3 linked regions of the Oryctolagus cuniculus genome follow. The protein of the gene in region 1 purifies or fractionates together with the protein of each later gene. This does not show direct contact. Links are inferred from orthologs where the notes say so. Each region holds a gene or a part of one and is shown in the gene's direction. Other genes may lie near its edges. The genes, in order: NEDD4, LAPTM5 and LAPTM4A.

Evidence for each region.
Region 2: the proteins of NEDD4 (region 1) and LAPTM5 purify together in Homo sapiens (affinity purification with western blotting; 3 studies listed by BioGRID and IntAct, with this or other methods). This does not show direct contact. The link is inferred for Oryctolagus cuniculus from reciprocal best matches to the Homo sapiens genes NEDD4 and LAPTM5.
Region 3: the proteins of NEDD4 (region 1) and LAPTM4A purify together in Homo sapiens (affinity purification with western blotting; 3 studies listed by BioGRID). This does not show direct contact. The link is inferred for Oryctolagus cuniculus from reciprocal best matches to the Homo sapiens genes NEDD4 and LAPTM4A.

What each region holds. Positions count from the first base shown.
Region 1 is NC_091443.1:78,535,567-78,542,613, reverse strand, and holds part of NEDD4 (E3 ubiquitin-protein ligase NEDD4), read left to right. Parts: intron 1-1,726; coding exon 1,727-1,956; intron 1,957-2,614; coding exon 2,615-2,736; intron 2,737-2,825; coding exon 2,826-2,896; intron 2,897-3,930; coding exon 3,931-4,026; intron 4,027-4,357; coding exon 4,358-4,431; intron 4,432-4,694; coding exon 4,695-4,755; intron 4,756-7,047. UniProt on the Homo sapiens protein: E3 ubiquitin-protein ligase which accepts ubiquitin from an E2 ubiquitin-conjugating enzyme in the form of a thioester and then directly transfers the ubiquitin to targeted substrates. Specifically ubiquitinates 'Lys-63' in target proteins.
Region 2 is NC_091438.1:141,558,261-141,565,814, forward strand, and holds the start of LAPTM5 (lysosomal-associated transmembrane protein 5), read left to right. Parts: upstream 1-2,391; 5' UTR 2,392-2,545; coding exon 2,546-2,632; intron 2,633-7,554. UniProt on the Homo sapiens protein: May have a special functional role during embryogenesis and in adult hematopoietic cells.
Region 3 is NC_091433.1:182,483,250-182,491,012, forward strand, and holds the start of LAPTM4A (lysosomal-associated transmembrane protein 4A), read left to right. Parts: upstream 1-3,362; 5' UTR 3,363-3,906; coding exon 3,907-4,017; intron 4,018-7,763. UniProt on the Homo sapiens protein: May function in the transport of nucleosides and/or nucleoside derivatives between the cytosol and the lumen of an intracellular membrane-bound compartment.

The sequences.
Region 1 (7,047 bases):
CTCACAGACCCCTTGAGGAAGCAAGGGTTTTTACTACCTTTCCCCGCCCTGGCTGGCCTCACTGGTTGGCTGCCCATCCCAGGGCCTCGCCCAGGGCAGGCGAGTGACCTACCAGCTGCCTGGCAGCCAGTCTGAAATTGCTTTTCTCCCATCTTGCCATTCTGTGAATTGCACAAGCGGTGGAGGAACAGCTTCTGGGAGGCAGTCTCCCCGCTTCGCCCCAGGATCTGCTTCCTGAGGTCTCGGCGACTCACTGTCCGCTGCAGCCTGAAAATGTTAAACATGGAAAGTTCTAGAAATAAGCCACTCATTCCTTTTCAATAATGTTTGTTAGGAGATTGTTATAATTGTTCTCTTTTATGATTATTGTTAATCTCTTGCTGTGCCTAGTTTACAAATTAGACTTTATCCTAGGGTGTGTGTGTGTGTGTGTGTGTGTGTGTGGAGAAAGCATCGGACAGGTGCGGCTTGGCCCTGTGTATCCTTTCAGGCATCCATGGGACATCTTGGAATGTCCACCCTGTGGATCAGGGCGACGGCCATCCAAGGCTTCAGTTACTGTGTTTCTATCAGGCTTTTCTTTTTCCTTAAATATATGAAAAATGATTTTCTTTTCCCTTAGAGCTAACCCTTTCTTTTTGTTTTTGAATCTTGATAGTGTGTTTTCTCTTATTGATTTCCACTTGAAAATTGCACACACACCACTCAGGAATAAAATATCCCGCAATATTGTTATAACATGTGTAATCCTATCTGCCTAAGGTATAGTTATCTACACTTGTAACACAAACAGAGGATGCGCACAGGGTCAGTGTGCCAGTGTCGCTCATTGCTGCAGACCAGAGACTGGGGAGCTTTCTCAGCATCCTCATTTCTCCCTCTGTAGAGTAGAGATGGTACTAGCAGCTTCTTTGTATTCTGTCATGAAGAACACTTGGGTTAACCAGTAAAATTGTGCCTGGTACAATCTATAAGTGTTAGCATCTATTCCTGGGTGAAGCAGGAGAGAGTGCAAGGAAGAAAAATTGCAGTAGGGAAGCACCTTGGCAGACAGGCAAGCAGCAAGTACCAGGCGGTGGCTAGACAGTGAGGCAGAGAAGGGGCTTCCCTGGAACCTGGCGTGCAACGGACTGTTCATGAAACGCCTTCAGCTGAGCGTCGTCACCCCCTCACCAGCCCCGTCAGATACATCAGAAGTGGGTATTAGGAAGTGGGAACTGAAATGTATGAATTCATTTCTTCCATGGAGGAAAAGTAAGAAAATACAGCTGGACCATCCTGGTGGTGAAGCAGGTTAAGCCACCACTGGACGCTGGCATCCCGTATCGGAGTACCAGTTTGAGTCCTGGCTGCTGTGCTTCTGATCCACCTTCCTGCTAATGCAACTGGGGAAGCAGCCGCGGATGCCCCAAGCACTTGGGCCCCTGCCACTCACAGGGGGGACCCGGGATGGAGTTGTAGGCTCCTGGCTTCAACCTGGCCAGGCCACCCCCATTGCAGCCATTTGAGAGGTGAACCAGAGGATGGAAGATCGATCGATTGATCAATCTCTCTCTCTCTCTCTCTTTCAAATAAATAAAATAAGCCTTTTTAACAGACCTCATTGTGTTTTCCCCGGCGCTGGGGGAAAGACAGCGGCAGAGCGCGTGTGGGAGCTTTCCTGAGGCCCGTGTGTCGTTACGCGGCGTTGACTCAAGTCACGAGTTCCTCCTCTCTGTGTTTTCAGAATGACATTCCAAACAAGTTTGAGATGAAGCTCCGCCGGGCCACCGTGCTCGAGGACTCCTACCGGAGAATCATGGGCGTCAAGCGAGCAGACTTCCTCAAGGCCCGGCTCTGGATTGAGTTCGACGGTGAAAAGGGGTTAGATTATGGAGGCGTCGCCAGAGAATGGTTCTTCCTGATCTCAAAGGAAATGTTTAACCCTTACTATGGGCTGTTTGAATATTCTGCTACGTAAGTTCCTTTTCAACCACTTACACACAAGGGAGACATCACTGTGTACAAAGTGGCAGTTACACAATACGAGGGAGATGTGGGTTCTGGAATACCAGGGAGGGGAGGCCGCAACTGATGTTTTAGAAGTGACTTTTTTAAGCGGTTGTGGTAGCACATGCCTCACATAAGACTTCCCACTATGACCGTGGGACGTGAGCACTGTGACGCCAGCTACATGCACGCTGCTGTGCGGTCACCACCACTGCTCCGGACCGTTTTGTCTTCTCAGGGTGAAGCTCTGACTTCTGTTCCCTGCAGTCGCCATCCGTTCTCCTTTCTGTCTTTGCAAATCCAGCTACCCCACTTCCCTCACGTGGGCGGAGTCATGCAGCGTTTGTCCTTGGCTCCGGCTTATTGTACTTGCCATGCCGTCTTCAGGGTGCGTCTGTGGCACAGTCGCCTTCCTAAAGCTAAAGAATACCCGCAACATCAGTGGGTGTTTGTATTATTTCCTCCTTTTGAGAGAATTTACTGCTTTTCAAACCATTCAATCCAGTGGCCAAATGCGGTTCTGATCAACTCCAAAGGAGGAGGAGATCCATTTATACTGATTTGTCAGCTTAAACATTTTGTCTGTGTTACCAACAGAAGTATTTCCGTGTGGTTCTCTCTGCAGGGACAATTACACCCTACAGATAAATCCAAACTCTGGGTTGTGTAATGAAGATCACCTCTCTTACTTCAAGTTCATTGGCCGAGTGGCTGGGATGGCAGTGTATCACGGCAAGCTGTTGGATGGTTAGTATCAAGTATAAACCTTGTCTTAGTGTAATTAGCCATCTTCTTTCATGTTTTAGTAATTCCAAATATCATTGTTTTTTTTCAAGGTTTTTTCATTCGCCCTTTTTACAAGATGATGCTACACAAACCGATCACACTTCATGATATGGAGTCAGTGGTATGTCTTTTCACTTGTAATGGGAATGACATATGATTTAACAGACAACTGGATATTGTAAAGAATTAGTTTTTTAATGATACAGAAATTAACAAGTAATAACCTTTCAAAATAGAAATGAATATTTTACCATGAAAATTTTCTAAATATAATCAAGTTTAAAGACCGTTACAGTGGACACTTGTATATCTACCACCTACAAGTGACTTTTCAACTTTTCCTATGTTTATTTCATTGCATACCTTTCCATCTATCCATCCCTTGACCCATTAATCCACTGTAGTTTTTTTCATGCATTTCCTCGTAAGCTGCAGATACCAGTAAACTTCCCCCTAAATGCTTACTTTGCAGCAGTACTGTATCTTTTATGTCAATATTTGAGTTGGGATATTGGCATGTATCTTAAATTTGGTAGTGTGGAGGCGTAGCCTCATGATTAGTCCCCAAGAAAGACACAGAGATGCTGATTAAAATCTTGACTCCCTATGCTCCCTCAGCTGCTGCAGAGCCCTATACATTGCATGCACACATGGATTCCAGGACAGCCTCCTTTCTTAGTACCAGGTAGATTGCTTCTTACTTTCATGTCACAAGTCATCAGTGCAATCAGCATGGTTTTTCACGTCATAACATCAGTCATTTCAGTTGTTTAGTTGAGCTTCCACTTGGGCCAGGTGTAGACAAGGAACTCCTCATAGTTACCTGAACATTTCATAAACCTCTCATCGGCCGGATGACTTCTGTGGAGGTTGGGACTTATCTGAAAACTGCTCTGTTTAACCCTTTAACTGGGTAACAAAATCTGCTTTCACATGGAGATGTTTCTGACCTTTTAAACAAGTACCCTCCACTGGCTGATACACGTCTAGCCCTGCATGGCCCCTTGTCTCTTCTTAGAGCACACGTATGTGTGTATGGAAAAGATGCCCACGTGACCCTTTCATCTTTCACCCAGTTATTCTGACCTGGAGCTCAGGTGTCTTCTTTATATATATATATATATGCATTTTAAATATGAAATTTTTCCCGTCTAGGATAGTGAATATTACAACTCACTAAGATGGATTCTTGAAAATGACCCAACAGAACTGGACCTCAGGTTTATCATAGATGAAGAACTTTTTGGACAGGTTTGTACCCTTTGACCAGTGAAAATGGTAAATTGTGTAAAAAACCTTGGCAGCTTCAGTTTAGAGTTAGTGCACATACTCAACACATTCCTGTGCTCTGCTTTTACATTCATGTTCCAGTAACAAGAGCACTCAGTACGAATTTTTGCTTTTTTTGACATTTGATTCATACCATATTTATTTTAGTAAAACTAATATTTAAGTTTTCTAAGCTTCTAGCTTTCGAATGGATTTAATGTAAAACACCAGGTTTTGGGCGTAACTGTAATATGTATACCTTTGAAATCTTTCTTACTAAAATAACATATCAAGGTATTATGTTTAATTTTAGACACATCAACATGAGTTGAAAAATGGTGGATCAGAAATAGTTGTCACCAATAAGAACAAAAAGGAATATATTTAGTAAGTATTTTATTAGTATTTTAATGAGAATAATTTTGCACTTTTTTGTAAGATTCTTCTTACCTTCTTCCCGGACCATGCTGTGGCCCCAATCTTGATGTTCTTCTTTTATTTCTATAACATTGCGGTATTATCGATTCATATCAACTTTTTGGCATGAGCTTAGCTAGCCTTTATTTTTTGTTTCTAACTTGAATAACTCCAGCTTAAATCTTTTTTCTTGGTTTATGAGAAAAAGTGTGAAATGTTTTATTTCTTTTTAGTCTTGTAATACAATGGCGGTTTGTAAACCGAATCCAGAAGCAAATGGCTGCATTTAAAGAGGTATTCATTTTCTTTTGTTTTCTCACTCACAATTTCAAAGTACAATCTGTAAATTTCAAATATTGGGCTTCATTCATCATATCTTAGAAAAATAAGTATATGGCTTGATTTGTAAACCACCCTAAGCTATGTTTTTAGACAACAAAATATTCCTTGAATAGTTGTTCACCATTAAAATTCAATCATTCAAGAACTCTAGACAGAACCATGCAGTTCCATTTTCACCTTTTCTTCTTCCCACTCCCCTCCTCTGAGTAGCCCCAGGTGGGCAGTGGCACGGAGTGCTCTAGGACAGTGTAGCAGGTCGGGCTTTTTCCTAAATACAATCACATCATGGGAGACCCAGATGAAGTTTCTGGCTCCTGGCTTCGGCCTGGCCCAGCACTGGCTGTTGTGGCCATCTGAGGAGTCAACCAGTGGATGGAAGATCCCTGTGTCTCCATCTCTCCCTTTCTCTGTAACTCTGACTTTCAAATGAATAAATTAATCTTTTAAAAAGATTAAATTCTTTAAAAATTGGGGAGGAAGGGAGAAATGGTATTGTGGTACAGCGCTGCCACTTGTGTGATGCCAGCATCCATGCATGTGCACTGATTTGAGTCCTGGCTGTTCTGTTTCAATAGAGCTCTCTGCTAATGTGTCTGAAAGGTAGCACAAGAAGATCCAAGTTCTTGGACCCCTGCCACCCATGTAGATGAACTTTGCTTCTGGCTTTTGGTATGTCCCGGCCCTGGCTGTTGTGGCCATTTGGGGAGCGAAGCAGCATATGGAATATCTCACTTTCTCTCTCTGTTCATGTTTCTGTCATTCTGCCTTTCAAATAGATAAATCTTTTTTTAATTTAATTAAAAATTTTAATTTTTAAAACTTTGGTTTTTATTTTATTTGAAAGGCAGAACTACAGAGAGAGGAGGGGGAAGGGAAGAAGGTGAGAAAGGGGAGGCGGGGAGAGAGAGATCTTCCATCCACTGGTTCACTCCCCAGATAGCAAAACAGCCATGACTGGTCCAGGCAGAAGCCAGGAGCCAGGAGCTTCTTCCAGGCCTCCCACATGGGTGCAGAGACATAAGCACTTGGGTCACCTTCTGCTGCTTCCAAAGTGCATTAGCAGGGAGCCGGATCAGAAGTGTGAAAAGCTGGGTCTTGAACCAGTGCCCACATGGGATGCTGGCATCACAGGTGGAGGCTTAACCCACTGTGCCACAATGTCAGCCCCAAAACTTTCTTTCTCAATACAAGTTCTATCTAGTTTGTAACAGATGACAGCAACCATTTAGTCATCCTTAAAGAACTGCGAGTCCTTAAACTCAACCATGTCAGTGCAGACTTGCTTTTTATATTATTAACTGAAGAAAAGTAGGTGCCCTTTAAACACATTTTAAGATTAGGAAACAAAGAGCCAAATCAGGACTGTTAAGTGGATGCCTGATGGTTTCCCGTGGAAACTCTCAAAGAACTGCCCTTGCAGGAGCATCGTCATGGAAGGCAGGAGCATTGTCATGGTGGAGACAGGCTCGCTGGAGAAGCTTCCCAGCACGTTTCTGCTAAGGCTCTAACTGACTTTCTCAAAACACTCTCAGAATCAGCATCTGTTACTGTCCTTTGACCCTCCAGAAAGTCAACAAGCAGAATGCTTTGAACATCCAAAAAAATGTCACCAAGACCTGTGCTCTCAACCAGCCTACCCTTGCCAAAGTCTGGGTCCCAGCTTAATCTGAGTCTCCCACGTGGGTGGCAGGGACCCCGCTTTTGCTTTAAATGGGCCCTTTCCACCTCTTTTGTTAATTTGACTTACATAAGGTAAACAAATTCCATGTATTTCATATGTACAGGCTTAAGAGCCTAATGATACTTCCTGCCCTACGCTGCCTCCTGCCCCTGCTCCCACCCTCCTTCCTTTTCTTTTATGTTTTACAATGACATACCTTCAGTTTATTTATAATGACAGGCTTAGTCCTCCACTAAATAAATAATTCAGCGAGTAGTAAGTAGAAAAACCAGTGTTCCTCAAGAGTATAGACAAGGGCTATAAACATCAAATCTCGTCAATTTTAGTCATGTACATTACATTTTTTATACTTTGTATATTAGTTACCACAAATTAGGGAAAACATATGATACATCTTTTTGGGACTGTCTTATTTCACTATGCATAATGGTTTCCAGTTGCATCCATTTTGTTTGTTCAAAAGACAGGATTTCATTTTTTTTATGGCTGAATAGTAGTCCACAGTATATATTTACCACACTTACTTTATACAGTTATCAGTTGATGGACATCTAGGTTGATTC
Region 2 (7,554 bases), on another chromosome or scaffold:
CAGGGCCAGGCTTCCGTTCCACAGGGAGTGGCAGAGGCCCCGGCCCAGGGGTCTGCGCAGGCTGGAGGCTGCTGACTTCAGGGGAGCGAATGACTCTGGTGTCTGGAGGGAAGGCAGTGCCTGGGTGGGGGGGCTCAAGAACAGACAGAGCAGGGTTCGCATCCCGGCTCCGTCTCCTCCCAGCAGCCTGGGTGTGTTTGAGGTCAGGGAGGAAAGACACAATAGCTGTGCTCACATGACCCTGTTCCGTGTTGGCCACAGCGCTGCCAAGGTAGGTACAACGGCTCAGAGAGATCAAGCGCTTTGTCTGAGGTCACACAGCGGCTAAGTGGGGAGCTGGGACACCCGAGCTGACGTCACCTCCTCCAGCTCCTCAGCCCTCTGCTGCAACTGTCTCCTAGGCTGTAGCTTCCTTAATATGCTCTTAAAATCGACTTGCTGCCTCTTTATTTAAATGCATCTGTTTGAAAATGAGACTTTATATTACTCCCATAAATGGAGAATCATAGAATTCGTGGACTAGTTATGTATATTTTTATACTGTACAATAAGATGAATTGATCACTATAAAAATGAAAAACCTCCATCCATAGACCATGTAAAACCGTGTCACACGCCAGCCCTCTCTTTGGGAATTGGCTGCACCCCTGCCTGGGTCCCACCAAATCACAGTGTTATTGACGGCTGTCGTTATAACCGCGGGAAATCCTCCGCTGGCTTCCCAGACTCCCCAGCGTGACCTCAGGGTCTTCCTGGCCCTGGTTTCTCAGTCTCAGGCCTTCTGTCTGGCCTCGCTGCTGAGGGACACAGTCTGACTCGTCTTGTCCTGGCCAGAAGGTGCCAGGACTGGAGCCCAGGCCGCGAGCCAGAGAGACCAAATTCTTACTCACTGACTCACTAGTCAGCTCGCTAGGACGTCAGGCCTCAGCAGACCTAGGAAGGGACGGAAGCAAGCTTGAACACGGAGTAGGGAAGCCATCGCCTGGGTCTCCCAGGAGCCCCAACCTGGCTGAGTCCCCTTGGTCTCATTGGCAAAGGGAGAAGGATTAGAAAGTGTAGCAGTGGGGCAGGCATTGTGGCGCGGTGGGTGAAGCGGCCAACTAGGATGTCAGCAATCCATATAGAAGCCGCTGGTTCGAGTCCCAGCTGCTCCACTTCTGATCCAGCTCTCTGCCAATGCACCTGGGAAAGTTGCAGAAAATGGCTCACGTGCTTGGACCCCTGCCACCCATGTGGGAGACCCAGATGGAGTTCCAGGCTCCTGGCTTTGGCTTAGCCCAGCCCCGCTGTTGCAGCCATCTGGAAAGTGAACCAGCGGATGGAAGATCTCTCTCCTTCCTTGTCACTCTGCTTTTCAAATAAATGATAGATAAATAGATATTAAAAAAAAAAAAGAAAGAAATAAAGTGCAGCAGCCCAGGTGTGTAGGTCTAACAGCAGTTCCTGCTGCGGGGTAGGAGCCTTTATAACCTCTCCTGGGGCAGAAATGATGGACTGCTGTGCTGCCCACTCCGAACTCCCTGACCTCATGGGAGGGTGGGGCTTTGTGGTGGGTCCTGCTGCATTCTGTCTGCTAGGAGCTTTCAGTGTCAGTGAGCTCAGCTTCGGGACAAGGCCCAGCTTCTTGCAGGTTGTTGCGCGTGCCTCGTGCACCCTTTGTTTATTGCAGTGTGGGTAATTTATCATCTGAGTGAGGAGTGCAGGTCCTGGGGTAGTGTGCTGGGGAGCCGTTTATTACTTCCAGTTTAAGAGCGAGTTCCTGTACCAGGAACTTGGAGGCCCACAGAGTGGGCTGCCAGGAGGGGTCAGTGACCGGCTGAAAGAAGACCCGGCCCAGGGCTGATGGCTACACATAGTAAGTGCATTACTGTCCTGGTTTGGAGCTCTGCCCACTGGGCAAAGACTCCTAGCCCTGGGGTAGCTCAAATTCCAGCTGTGACCCAAACAAATCATTTCCCCTCTCTGTGCCTCCATTCCTTCATCTGTGAAATGGGGATAATAGTAGCACCTCTCTCAAAAGGCTAAGGTTGAGGTTAAAGGAGCTATTCCAGGAACATGCTTAGTACTTGCCAGAAAGTAGCCATTTTTGCAAGGTTTGAGCTTGGCTCCTGCCACAGGTGCTAACTGATGTGTGATTTGGGGTGAGTGCCTTGATACACCTCTCTGGACCTGTTTCTCTCTCTCTTTTTTTTTTTTTTTTTTTTTTTGGAAATAGGTCTGGTCACTGTCCCAGTTTCCAAGGGTGAACCCCAGCCCTGGTGCATGGTGGGTACAGATGGTGGGAGCGTCTGTCCTCCCTGGAAGCCCCTCCCAGGAGCGGCTGAGGTCTGGCGAGGCTCCCTCCCTGAGGCCGGCCGCGGCCCCTCCCCCACCTGCTTCCCCCGCCGCCCCGCCCCAGTGCTGACGACCTTGGCCCTGCCTGTCTGAGGGGCAGGACGGAAGTGAGCCTGAGCCGGGCAGCCGGCAGCTTCCCTTTTTCTGCTCTGCTCTCGGTGGGCGCCGGGCTCCTTCCCCCCAGTGCCTCAGAGGCCGCGGCAGCAGTACCATGGCCCCGCACGTGGCCGCCGTCCGCCAGACCTGCTGCTGCTTCAACGTCCGCGTGGCCACCACCGCCCTGGCCATCTACCATGTGGTGAGTGTGCCGCCGGCCCTGGGGACTTGTGTGCGTGCCCGTGCGTGTGTGTGTGTGTGTGTGTGTGTGTGCCGGCGAGAGAGACTGAGCCCCTCAAAGGGGAGGCCACTGCCCACCACCTTTCTGAGGGACTCTGTTTGGCACAGCCCTTTCCCTCTCTGGCCTCAGTTTCCCTCTCTGTGAAATGGGGAGGGCGTCCTGCAGCTGCGGACGTAAGTGACATTCGCTTCTGCAGCTCAGCTTCTGCCTCAGCGAGTCGGGCAAAGCAGCAGGCGCGAGGTTATCTCAGAACTGGACATGCTCTGGGGGCCAGGGGGCCTGGGAGAGAGCAGGCTGGGCCGGGTGCCAGGATGCCAGGTCAGCCACAGGCACAGCTTGCAAGCCCGGGCTGCTCCAGGAGCCGGGACATCAGCAGCTCCTCTCTGAGCTTCCAGTGGGCGGGGGCAGGGAGCTAAGAAGCAGGGAGGGGCGCTAGGCTCAAGCTCCCACAGGTTCCTCTTTGGAGGCCGGTGTGCCTAGCCACACACGAAAGCTCTGTCACCTGTGGCTCACGGAGTGACTCTGGGAAGGTGCCAATCCCCAAGGCCATGGCTACCCCTTTGTTTGCGGTGGCTGAAGCTTGGAGTCCCTGCTCTGTCCTGTCCAGACCCACCCTCCAACCCTTGTCTCCTGGCCACACCCGGGCCCCCAGACCTAGGCGCCTTCCTCCTGGAGTGACTCAGGGCCTGTGGTTAGCCGTTCTCTCATGAGCTTGGAAGAGCTTCCTGAAAGTGAGCCACGGCTTGCATGCCGTGGTGGGCTGCCCTCCCCGGCCGAGATGGCCGCATCTGCTTCCTGTCGTGGGGCAGGAGCCGGGCCTGGGGAGGGCGGTGCCGCTCAGCGGTTAGCATACAGACACCTGTGTGCAAATCCTGGCTTCCTGGTTTCCTAGCTGTAGGAAACTTGGGCAACTTACTTAACCTCTCCGAGTCTCTGTTTCCTTTTCTCCAAAACGAGGCTAAAGATAAGAAGTCCTGTCTGACGGCTTGTGTGGCTCAGGGACTCAATAGCCACAGCGCAGGCAGAACAGGGTCTGACCCACATTGGAGTGTTTTGCCTTCAGTGCGGCACCACACATGCACCTGCTGCCGGCACACCTGAAGTCCCGCATTCCCAGCCCGGAGAGTGGTTTTGGCAGGAGCTCAGAGATTGTCCCACACGAGGTGTCTTTACTGTCCCCACCAAGTCTATAGGGTTTTCTTTCTTTTTAAAAAAGATGCATTCATTTTATTTGAAAGGCAGAGTTACAGAGACAGAGGGCGAGATGGAGAGACAGAGAGAGAGAGAGAGAGAGATATCTTTCCATCTGCTGGTTCATGCCACAGATGGCCTCGACAAACAAGGCTGGGTCAGGCCAAGGCCAAGAGCCTGGACCTCCATCTAGGTCTCCCACATGGGTGCAGGGGCCCGAGCACTTGGGCCGTCTCCTGCAGCTTTCCCAAGTGCATGAGCAGAGAGTTGGATCGGAAGTGGAGCAGCCGGGACTTGAACCGGCGCCCATATGGGATGCAGGCACCGCAGGCTGCGACTTTACCTGCTGCGCCACAGCGCCAGCACTGTGACTCTTAAGAAGTCCAGAAGGGCATGTACATGACTACAGGTGGGATGGACGGGCCCGGGAGGCCCTGTGCTTCTGCCCGTTGCTGCCATGAGGGTCTTGGGCACTGTGGCCTCTCCTCTGACATTTAGAAAAGCAGGAAACAGGCATCTTTGCTGCACCTTCTGGTGTTCCCATGTCGCTGAGTGACGCGGGGTAACATGGACGCGCCCATGCAGGCCGTGCTGGACCCGCCCACAGGCTGCCTGCGCCGAGGCTGCACTGCAAGCCTGGGACCGTGTGCCTCCAGGTTTCTTTTTGATCTCTATGCCTTGGGTCCTGCCACGGCAGCCGCGTGGGTCCAGGGCACGGAGAAGTCTTGTTGGAGGGGCACCTTTGTAGGAGGTGCAAACTTTGCTATGGGAAACAGGGGTGGAGCAGAGAGACTGCGGACAAATGGGGGTGGGCAAGGCGTGGTTGGGCACTCCGGACCCTGAGCTGGAGTCAGGGAGGGACAGGGCGAGTGCTTGGCGTGTCCTTGGGTGCACCGTTATTATTTGGGCTGGAGGAGCCTTTGGCGTGGGGGCCTGAACAGTGCCTTGTAGGAATTTTAGCAACACCCCCTGCTTCTATCTGCTGCATGCCAGTAGCACCGGCTGCACTGACTCCCCCGTGACCATAACCAAACAGGTGTCTAGTCCTGGGCGCAGTCGCTCCCTCTAATGTGAGTTGGGGGGCAGCCATGGGAGGTTCTAGAACAGGAGAAGGTGCCAGAAGAGCGGGTAGCCTGGCTGCTCTGTGACTCCGGGCCGGCCTCCTCAGTGGACTGCAGTGAGGGTCTCTGCCTTCACCCTTGCTGGGGTTGGGGCTCTGCGTCTTCCCAGAAGGGCAGGGTCAGGGGCTTTCCTGTGGCCCAGTCGTCGGGTGGCAGGTGTGCTGGCAAGACCTTGAACATCTGGATGGAAAAGAGAAGCTGCCATCCAGATGTGCCAGGGGCCCGCGTCGGCCGTCATCTGGAGCCAGCCGTGGGTGACGGCTCTGCCTGGGGCGAGCTATTTGTGGCTGTGGTTCCTCTGGGGAGGGTTAAATCGGGCCACTGACGTCCAGAGGCAGCACGCGCTTTATCAGGTCGTGGGGGTGTTGGTGCTGGAGGACCCTCTCCTGTGCGATGCTGGGAAGTGAGTCCTTGACTTTCGGCCGCAGGAGGCTTCCTAGGGATTTTGCTGGGCTTGTGTAGAGGATTCTCTGGGCCACCCACCTACACCCATGGGGAAGTCAAAGGACTTTTCTTAGATCGACCTCCTGGGTCCTCGCTCGTCATCAAGTTCACTCAAGTCCTCAGTCGGTGTCAGGAGGCGAGGACTCCCAGAGACCCTTTTGCCTGGAAATGTCTCCTGCCTTTCTTCCCCAAGGCGCCTGAAATCCCATCACTGGAAGTGCATTGTCCAGATGAAAAGCTGACACCTGCTGTGATAAAAAAAAATGTACACAGATTTCAACCATGCAGGGACAGGACGCGACAAAGCCCAGTGAAAAGGAAAGGAGGTGGTGGTGACTGTGGGCTCCAGGACCGTGCAAACGCTTTTCTACTTTCCTATTTTCAGTATCTGGTCTGAGCATGTGCTACTTTGAAAAAGAAATGCTTCATTTTAGAAGAGTTTCAGGTACTGCAGGGCTGTGAACGTGGTGCAGAGTGCCCGTGTCCCGGCTGCCTAGCCTCTCCGTCACTATCTTCCATTATCTGTGCCCTTGTCACAGCAGATGAATCCATACTGACACCTGTTACTGACAGGCAGCCACGCCCCGTCCATACCTCCACCCCTCTGCCCGGGATCCTTGTTCTCCTCCGGGAACCATGGAGAGGACCCTCCAAGGGACCACACCACGCTTGGCTCTCACTGCCTCCTAAGGGTTCCCTCCTACTGTCCCTGACAATTTCTCAACAGTTTCTTCATTTCTGGTGATCTTGGGAATTTTGTCGAATGTTCCCGAACTGGGATTAGTCGGACGGTTTTCTCAAGATTACACCCGAGGTCAGGTGCTCTGGGGAAGAGGACTGCAGAGGTGGAGTGCCACCCTGGCATGCCACCTGCAGGGTATGTGCCACCACGGCGATGGGCATCGTGGGCTTCGACCTGGGTCACTTCGACCCCATCCTGTGCTGTCAAGTTTCCCTTTTTCTCTTTGTCCTTTCTGGAAGAAAGTCCCTGTGCACAGCATGCTGCTCCCCTCCCTGAGGGCGCGGGGGCCCGTGGTGATTGGGAATCCTTCCTGAGAGATTTGTCTGTTCTCCCCACCATCGGATTACACAGGCAGAGCACCCGGATGCTTGCTTTGTGCCTGGGGGAGAATCCCGTGCTGCGTCTCTTCATGCTACAAAGGCAGCCTCTGGGGTGGAAAGAAGAGGCCGCAACTTGCCCTGATGAGCCTGGGCCAGGAGCCAGGCCTCAAAGTCTGTGATAACCAAGGCGCTGGTAGCAACGCTGCACACTGTTGTGGGCCCAGGGAGGAAGGGCCTTAGCCCAGCCTTGGGGTGGAGGTGTGGAAGGGCTCCTTGGAGGACCCCTGGATCCTGGTGATGACCAGGACTTTGCTGGAGCATGCTGGGAAAAGAGGGCTCACAGCTGGAGGGAGCTGCAGCAGCAGAGGCTTGGTGTGGGCAGACCACTGGGGGCTGCCGGAGGCTGTGGGAGGGGGCGGGGAGGCTCGTGCAGTGGGGTTAGCAGGGACAGTCACAAGGCATTGATAGGGGGGTGGGGAGCCCAGAGGTCAGCAAGGGTGATGCTGCTCTAGCCCCTTACTTCTATCAGTCCTCGTGGTTAGGCAGAGGGATCTTGGCTTCACCCATTTGCCCATTTTTCAGATGAGAAAACAGAGGTGCAGCAGAGTCTCTGACCATGTAGAGAGGCCATGTAGAGAGGAGGGGTAGGTGTGTGGAATGGGCCAGGGAGTGGGCCCCTGGCTAGGGTGGTCTGTCTCTGAGAGGGCCTTCCCGTCCCCCCAGCCTTCCATGAAAGTTTCTTCCTCCTACGGGAAGCCCTCCTGCTTTCTCCTTCTCAGAACCCCTCAGGCTCCTTCCCTCGTCCTCCTTGGAGGCAGTGACTGTGACTGAAAGGACACTGGCCGGTCTCGTCACTCACCAGCGCTGGGACCTCCGGCAGGCAGGTGCCTTTGCGTGTGGGCCCCAGTTTCCTCATCTGTTCAATGGTCCTTGCCTCAAGGGTGGCCATTTCAAGGTGCTAAGGTGCCGAGTTGCTGCAGCCCTGGCAAATACAGGAGGGGGCTGTGAACGGGGTGAGAATCTGTTAGGGTCCACCACCTGCACCGCTGCCCATGCTGCACAGAG
Region 3 (7,763 bases), on another chromosome or scaffold:
AAAAAAAAAAAAAAAAAAAAAAAAAAAGTTGTGAGAAAGCACGGGATTATATTTAATGTTTAATTATTTAATTATATTTAATGTTATTAATTATTTAATTAATTAATTATTAATTAATTATTTAATTATATTTAATGTTTGATTTGATAGGAGGTAGCTGAATTCTTACATCAATATGTCATGATATTTCTTTTGGTTGAAATGTATAAAGAAAATCTAATCTCATGTAGATATGTTGTTGGAAAAGTTATTTTAAGAGACTTTTTAGATAATTGTGATTTTTTCTTTGATTCTACACCAAAACATAGTAAGTAGTAAATCCTTAAAGGTCAATTGTAATGTGGAATCTGAACCATATGAAGGAACTTTTCGGGGCTGGCACTGTGGTGTAGCGGATAAAGCCGCCGCCTCCCGTGCCAGCATCCCATAGGAGCGTTGGTTCAAGTCCCGGCTGCTCTACTTCCGATCCAGCTTTCTGCTATGGCCTGGAAAGGCAGTATAAGATGGCTCAAGTCCTTGGGCCTCTGCACCCTCGTGGGAGACCCAGAAGAAGCTCCTGACTCCTGGCTATAAATCAGCACAGTTCCAGCTGTTGCGGCCAATTGGGGAGTGAACCATCAGATGGAAGACCTCTCCCTCTCTCTTTTTTCTACCTCTGCCTCTCTGTAACTCTTTCAAATAAATAAATAAATCTTTAAAAAAAGAACTTTTCATACTGTGACACCAAAAATCACTGCTCTGCCCTGCACTTGATTAGCTTTTTTAACCTAGGCATGATTTTGTAGCATAATGCACTGGTTATTTGACAAATGTTGCTTCACTCAGGTAGCAGAGAGTCAAATGTTAACATTGTAAATATCAGAAAATCACATTAGTTTATTTCACTCCAATACTACCATAAAAATCTTTTAAAAAGGTTTATTTTATTTGAAAGGCAGAGTGACACACACACACACACAAACACACACACATACAGAGAGAGAGACAGAGAGAGAAAGACAGAGACAGAGACAAAGAAAGCAAACTTCCATCCTCTGATATAGAATGCTGGCATCATAGGCGGTGACTAACTCGTCGGGCCATAACTCTTGCCCCACATAAAAATCTTTATTACTATCAAGCCTGTGGTTGTGCATATACATTTTTCCAAAATTTTTGGAAACTTTTCTCTAATTTTCTCTTGAAAATTTTATAATTTCTTCACTGGCAACCAATACTCTAGCTGCTTGCCTTGAAGGGACAAGTTCACCTCATTCATTTTCAAGAAAATGACTGCCAAATACTTACATCTCAATATTCATATTCACCTGTCATTCTTTCAAGTGAAAATGGTGCTCTATTAAAAACGTGGCTAGATCAGTTCCTAAGTCAAGCAATGCTTCCCCTAGAGAGAATCATTGTATTTTTGTACACAGCAAAAGTGCTTATGTGGACTTGACCTTTTATTACATAGAATGCTAAAAATATGTGTTCTTGCATCTGCATTGGGGTGCAGTGGTTTAAGCCACTGCTTGGGACATCTGTATCCCATATCAGAGTGCCTGGCTTTGAGTCCTACCTCTGCTTCCAATCTATGTTCCTCCCAATGCACACTCTGGGAGGCAGAAGATGATGGCTTGAATATTTGGGTACTCGCCACCCACATGGGAGACCTGGATGGAACTGGCTCCTGGCTTCTGCCTGGCCCAGCCATGGCTGTTGCAGACATCTGAGGAGCAAACCAGATATTTCTCTCTGTTGCTTGACCTTTCAAATAAATAAAATTCACAATAAACTTAAAAAATAAAAAGATGTGTTCTCAAGGACTAACAAAACAAAGCAAATAATGTTTTGTTCATCAAGAATATTCTTAATCCAAACTAGCATTTTTACACTGCTTGTGTAGCAGGGAAGGACGCAGGTGATGGGTGGTACAGTTTGGTGCCACTGTCCACAGTAGAACTAAACTAAAAGCCTCATCATAAAATCCAGGGTTTCCCCTCTTTCCCTTCCAGCTCCTGTCATCCCCTTCCTCCTTCCTGCCCCCAGCCCCTTTTCTGTTTTCTCTCTGCGATTCCACTTCTGATGATGTGGTCATATATCCCTCCCATCTCTTTCTTCGCCCACCCCTGGCAATGATTCTGTCAGCTCCCACCGACAAGAAGTAAGGGTCTAGTTTTGGATTCCTTGAATCTGGGCTTAGCCATGGGATTTGCTTTGTCCATTGGAACATGAGCAAATGTGAACCACACACTTAAAAAGTGCCAGTGTCTTGTGCTTGCCCTGGGAAACCCTGCACCAACCCTAAGGGGCTGGGCCAGCTTGCTAGATGTTGAGACACGCAGATAAATGCCTCCACCCAGACTGATGCAAAACCACCAGCCACGGGAGAACATTCTAGACGATCCAGATTTCACCAGTTAAGCTGAACTTGACAGAAACCAGCAGAAATGCCTAGTTTAGCACAAATTGAGGAGAAATAAAAAAAAGTTGTGTGAAGTCACTAAGTTTTGTGTAGTTTGTTGCACAGCAAAAGCTGTCATTAAAAATACTCTCAGCTATTTTTGTCGTGGTGCACGCAGAGCTTCATATTTTTAAGCAACATATACACTCTATTTTCACTAATTCTGACGTTATTTGCTCCCAATATACTGGATGACTTATCACTCTTAAACTGTCATCTACTCTTCCCCAAATACAGTGTGTTGCGACATACTCCACATGCAGCGTTTGCCTGATTATGCCTACGCAGTTATCACCCACAGCTGAACTCCGTGGTGGCTCTGACTACATTTCTTTTCACGGTAAAGTCACACGTCTCCTACACACACAACGAACACGTGTCAAAGATTCTGTCTGCTCTGAGGAAGGAGAGGCCGGGGAGACGTCAAAGTACCGCCTCTACTGAAGCAGGAATGGGAATGAACTCAGAAGTTGATGTCAGATACAGGCTTTTTCCCAGGAGGGCTGAGTCCAGTGAGCACTCCCAGGGCGCAGCAGGGACAAAGGAAGGCGGGGGCCCTACGCAATCCCAACACCAAGGCCGGCTGTTCACTCAAGGCCCCCGACAACCTGTTGGTTCTTTTCCACGTGTCTCACAACTCTTCTCCACAAAAACCACTCTCGTCAGCTGTAAGCAGCCAGTTCTCCCACTACTTTCGGTCTCCTTAAGCCCTGCGTCTCTGGCTCCCACCAAGGAGGCGGAAATCCACGCTCTCAACTCCCCTGGGAGCTCCCAATTTCCGCCACACTGCGGGGGCGGCTAGCTAGCCCCGCCCCTCCCCACAGGCCCCACCCACTCACAAGGCCCGCCCCTCCCCCACAAGCCGGCCCAATAATGGAGCCGCACGCAAAGGTCACATGAGCAGCCGCAGGTCCGAGTCGCCTCTGACGTAATACGTGGCAGAGGCATCACTCGGAAAAGCCTTTCGCGCTCACTTCCTGGCCTCCACGCCATCTCTTGTCTCCCCTCTTGCACTAAATGTCCCTTTCCTTGACGGCCTCACTTCAGGGATGGTGAACTACCGGGTCGCCCTCACCACGAACTCTCCTGGGCTCCCGAGCGGGCCTCTGGCCTCCCTTACCAGGCGGGAACGGATCCGCGCTGAGGGGAGTTGCACTTCTGATTGGCCCTGAGATATTGTCAGTCTCCAAGGTTTTCCAATCAGGAGGCGGGCCCGCTCCGTTTTCCGCTCTCTATTGGTCCGCGTGCCGCGGAAAGTGGAGGAGGAGGAGGGGGTAAGCGGAGGCCGCACGAGAGCGGCGCTCAGTGCGCCGGTGCGGAGGAGCTGTTGGGGCCCGGGCCGGGGGCGGGCTTGAAGACGCGTCGTTTGGCTTGGGACGCCGAGAGTCAACCGCCGGGCGCAACCGCTGCGCGGAAAGCTTTGGTCAGTGACTGGGCCAGCAGCGAGGCCCGCGAGTCTCCCGATGGTGTCCATGACTTTCAAGCGGAGCCGCAGCGACCGGTTCTACAGCACCCGGTGCTGCGGCTGCTGCCATGTTCGCACCGGGACGATCGTCCTGGGCACCTGGTACATGGTAGGTGTGAGGGGCGCCCGGGCCGGCGGGGCGGGGCGTGAGGGGGCGCGTCTCCGTGGGGTCCTCCAGCTCGGGCAGCAGTCCGGGGGCGTCGAGGGAGGAGACTTGCCCCGGGGGTGTTCCGGGGCGGCCGGAGGGACTGGGGTGCTGGGAATGACCCGGCTTGGCCTCCTTTCGCACTTCCGCCCCCGGGTCGGGTGCTGGTGGCGGTGGGTTTTATTCATTTTATATATATATTTTTTTTTTGAGGAGCAGATCTTGAGGTAACGCATCCCAGTTCCTCTGCCTCGGGGCCGCTCGCGCTGCCGGAGCGCAGCTGGGGTGCGGGCCGCGGGGCCGAGGTGCGCCCGGAGGCGGCACCGCTCTCCGGGATTCGCCCTGAGGCAGCCCCTGGCCTGCCCGCGTTAGCGGATGGCCTGCACTGGGTGGCCGCGGAGGCTGGCGTGCCTGGTGCCGGGATCTCCTCTGTCATCGGCAGTTGACAGTGTGACCCGTAGGAAGACGGTAGTGGCTGCTTCCCGCCGCTTCCGGGATGCGGACACGATTGGAGCCGGTTTGTGAGTTAGGAAAGTGCGATCCTGTTTAGGCAGTCTTGGGTTATTCGGACTTCACGGAAGCTCTGTCAGACTTCATTTGTTGTCGACTCGGCCACTTTGGCTGACTTCTGTGATTTTTGTGGGGGGCGACAGGGAGTGGCAGCAAATACTGTGCCGGTTCTGATGCTTAGTGACCTACAAAAAAAAAAAAAAAAAAAAAAAAGGGAAGAGACTTACCCTAGGCACTCCCTGCCTTCCTACGTGCTGGAGACGTCCCCACCCAGTGTCTGGAAGTCATTGGTAACCACTCAGACAAATACCAGACGAGAATCCGTTAGACAGATACTGTTACATGGCTCGCCCCCAGGGGACCACCTGCCACCACGTTATTCCTGACTGCTCTGTTGTTGTTTTACAGTCTTGCTTCATTAACATACTTAAAAATTAAAAAAACTTGAATGTGTGTAAATCTATTTGTATCACATGGCCATTCACAGACTCTATAATTTTGGACATCAAATAGTTAATGAGTCATCTGCGTTATATTTCTCACTTCCTTTTCTTTCCCCTCCATTATTAAGGGGCTGAGTTTTAATTTCTTTTGTTTGTCCTTAGCTCTGCCTTCCACTCTCCAAAATGAATACTTTAAATCGTTCTCAACCCTACTGTCCTCATCCCAAGTGATTTTCCCTCCTCCTGGGTGGAGGAAGTCCAGTCCTTCATCCTGGGACTCTGGCCTTCAAATTTGGTGTTCCTGTCTCCTCAGCTCTTTCCCTCCGTTCACAGAACAGAGGGTTTCTAACTCTTAAAGAAGAAAATAACCACCATCCTTGTCTCAGCCATCTAAGTGTAATTGGCTGTATTTATGGGCTCAGCTCAAAAATGAATAGCAGGATCAAGTGCGAGTTACAAACAGGAAACTCAAAGTGCAGAGGGGAAAACTTCAGTTAAGGGCATTATTCCTACAAAGTAGGCAGTGAATTTAAATCTCTTCCGCACTTGAAGCTGTTGACGTGAAAAAGGTTCACGCATCTCTCTTTTGAGCTCTTCTTTGCGTGGACTTTTCAGGTTAGTAGAACCTTGTCAACTGCTTCTGTCACCTGTCTTGGTTATGTGATTGATTGACCGTGTGCACTATGAAAGGCTTTGCTTGCTGTACAGAAGGAATGAATCACAGGGCCTGGTGTCGTTGATCCTTTGTGTTCCTGTTCGGGCCACATGGTAGAACTTCAGTGTTTGTTGTCTTGAACTTTGCATCTTCCCTCAAGATGCTTCTGGTATTGCATGGCACTTTGGGGCACAGGTTCAGAAACGAAACTTACAGTAACGAGAGAAGGGGAAGGTGATTGGTAATGTCCAATTCTAACCAGCTCAGGGACTGGAGGAAGGCTGTGGGGGGCCCGTGTTGAGCCTAGCAGTTAGCCGTCTGCATTCCCCATCATGGGTTCAGTTCTGGCCGAAGCCCCTGACTCTAACTTCCTGCTACACAGACACTGGGAAGCAGTGTTGATGGCTGAAGTCACCTGTGTGGGAGACCCGGAAAGGCCAGTGGTTTTATTAATTATAATATTGCTGGTGACTTTCAAAAGTGTAGCTTTGATACAGCAATTTAAAGACACAGTTTCTGCCCAGCTGGGGAGACACATAACACTGAGAAATTAGACAAGACCACCTGGACCAAAGTGCAGTGTTGTCTAAGCAGTGCGTTTTGTTGCCAGTAGCTTCCTTACTAAGGGAAATACGGGGGTGAGTGGAGTAGGGTGTTACTTCCCTCCCTCTTCCTTGATTCTAGCTGCTGCAATACTTCTGCATCTGCTTGAGAGAGTATCTTATGATTCTCTCAGGTTCCCCCGTAGTCACTAGGCTGTCTGAAGTGGTGATTCCTTATGTGCTGTTTGGAACTTGGTGAGGCCTCTGGATGGGCTCAGACACTGTTAAAATGACTGCGACTGATAGAGTGTCATTACTTTTCAGCAGCCACTTCTACGGATGGCAATGTGAAGATGTTTGTCAGACTGTATATACGGTATTCATTGCCTTATATTAAGTAGTGCTGGGCAGGACCTAGAGAAAACCAGAACCCATTATTCCGTAGCCTTGCAGTAGTAGCCTTTAGCATTTTAAACTTGAAAGAAGAAAGCCTGGTTTAGTACCTGGTTTAAGCGATACAGAGTTTCAGAATGAGCTCCTTTAAATGCTGACATTTCTAAAGTTTCCCTATCATTTTTTAAGATGATTTTAAACAAGTTTCTTGTCTAACTCAAAATATTTATTGAATGAAAATGGCCTTAAGCATCTGCTGTGAGAGGTTAATGGTGCCCTAATGAGAGTATGTTTTGAGCATTTGTAGTAAGTGTTGGTCTTGGAAAGACGCTGTGACTGATTTTCCATGTGTCTCAACCTTTTTAGAGTATAACCTTAGGTAGCGGGCAGATACGCGAAGACAGGCTTCCTCAGGCTGCATTCCTTTCTGGCCCTCACTCCTGATTGCTATAGAGGAGTGTAGCTTGTTTATGCTTCAGTCAGTGTCTTTCCTCAAGTACCTTGTTTTGTGCCTCTGTGACTGGATATGCGATTCCCTTCTGAAATCATCTTTTCCTGTCATTTTCTAAAAATGGTATTAAGGAAGTTTTAAAACAAAGTAGCAAACTGGCATAAAAATTCCCATTTACTCATCTCTCAGGTTTAACCATTAACAATTTTGTCAATTTCACATTAATTTCTTGGCTGGTAGCTCAGATGTTTTCATGGGGAAGATTTTTCAAGTGTCTGTTGTAGGCACTTATTAAATAGTACTTCTGTTGCATTCTAGTATGATTATCTTTTCTTCCTCCCACATAGGATGGCTTCCCTGAAGGAGGAGGGTAGTGTCTTACCCTATAAAATGTGTGTAGTAGGTAAATTATTAATTAGACCGCTTGAGATGTTCATGAAACAGTAAATGAACCGTCTCCTCCAAGAAAAGTCCCTGAAGAATCTCTAGGATGTGTGTGGCAATGAAATGAGAATGCAGAGAGGAATGACTCTCTGGAGGCTGGGTGTGTCCATGGATGCCGTAGCGTTGCTTTGTACTCAGGACGCTCGAGCACATCTGTTTCTCCTTTGTGCGCTTACATAAGGTGGGTAAAGGCTTCAGAAGCATCAGACACCACGTTGTTTGACCCACAAATTGTACATGTCTGCTCCCACGCTGAGTGCTGAGTGGTGTGT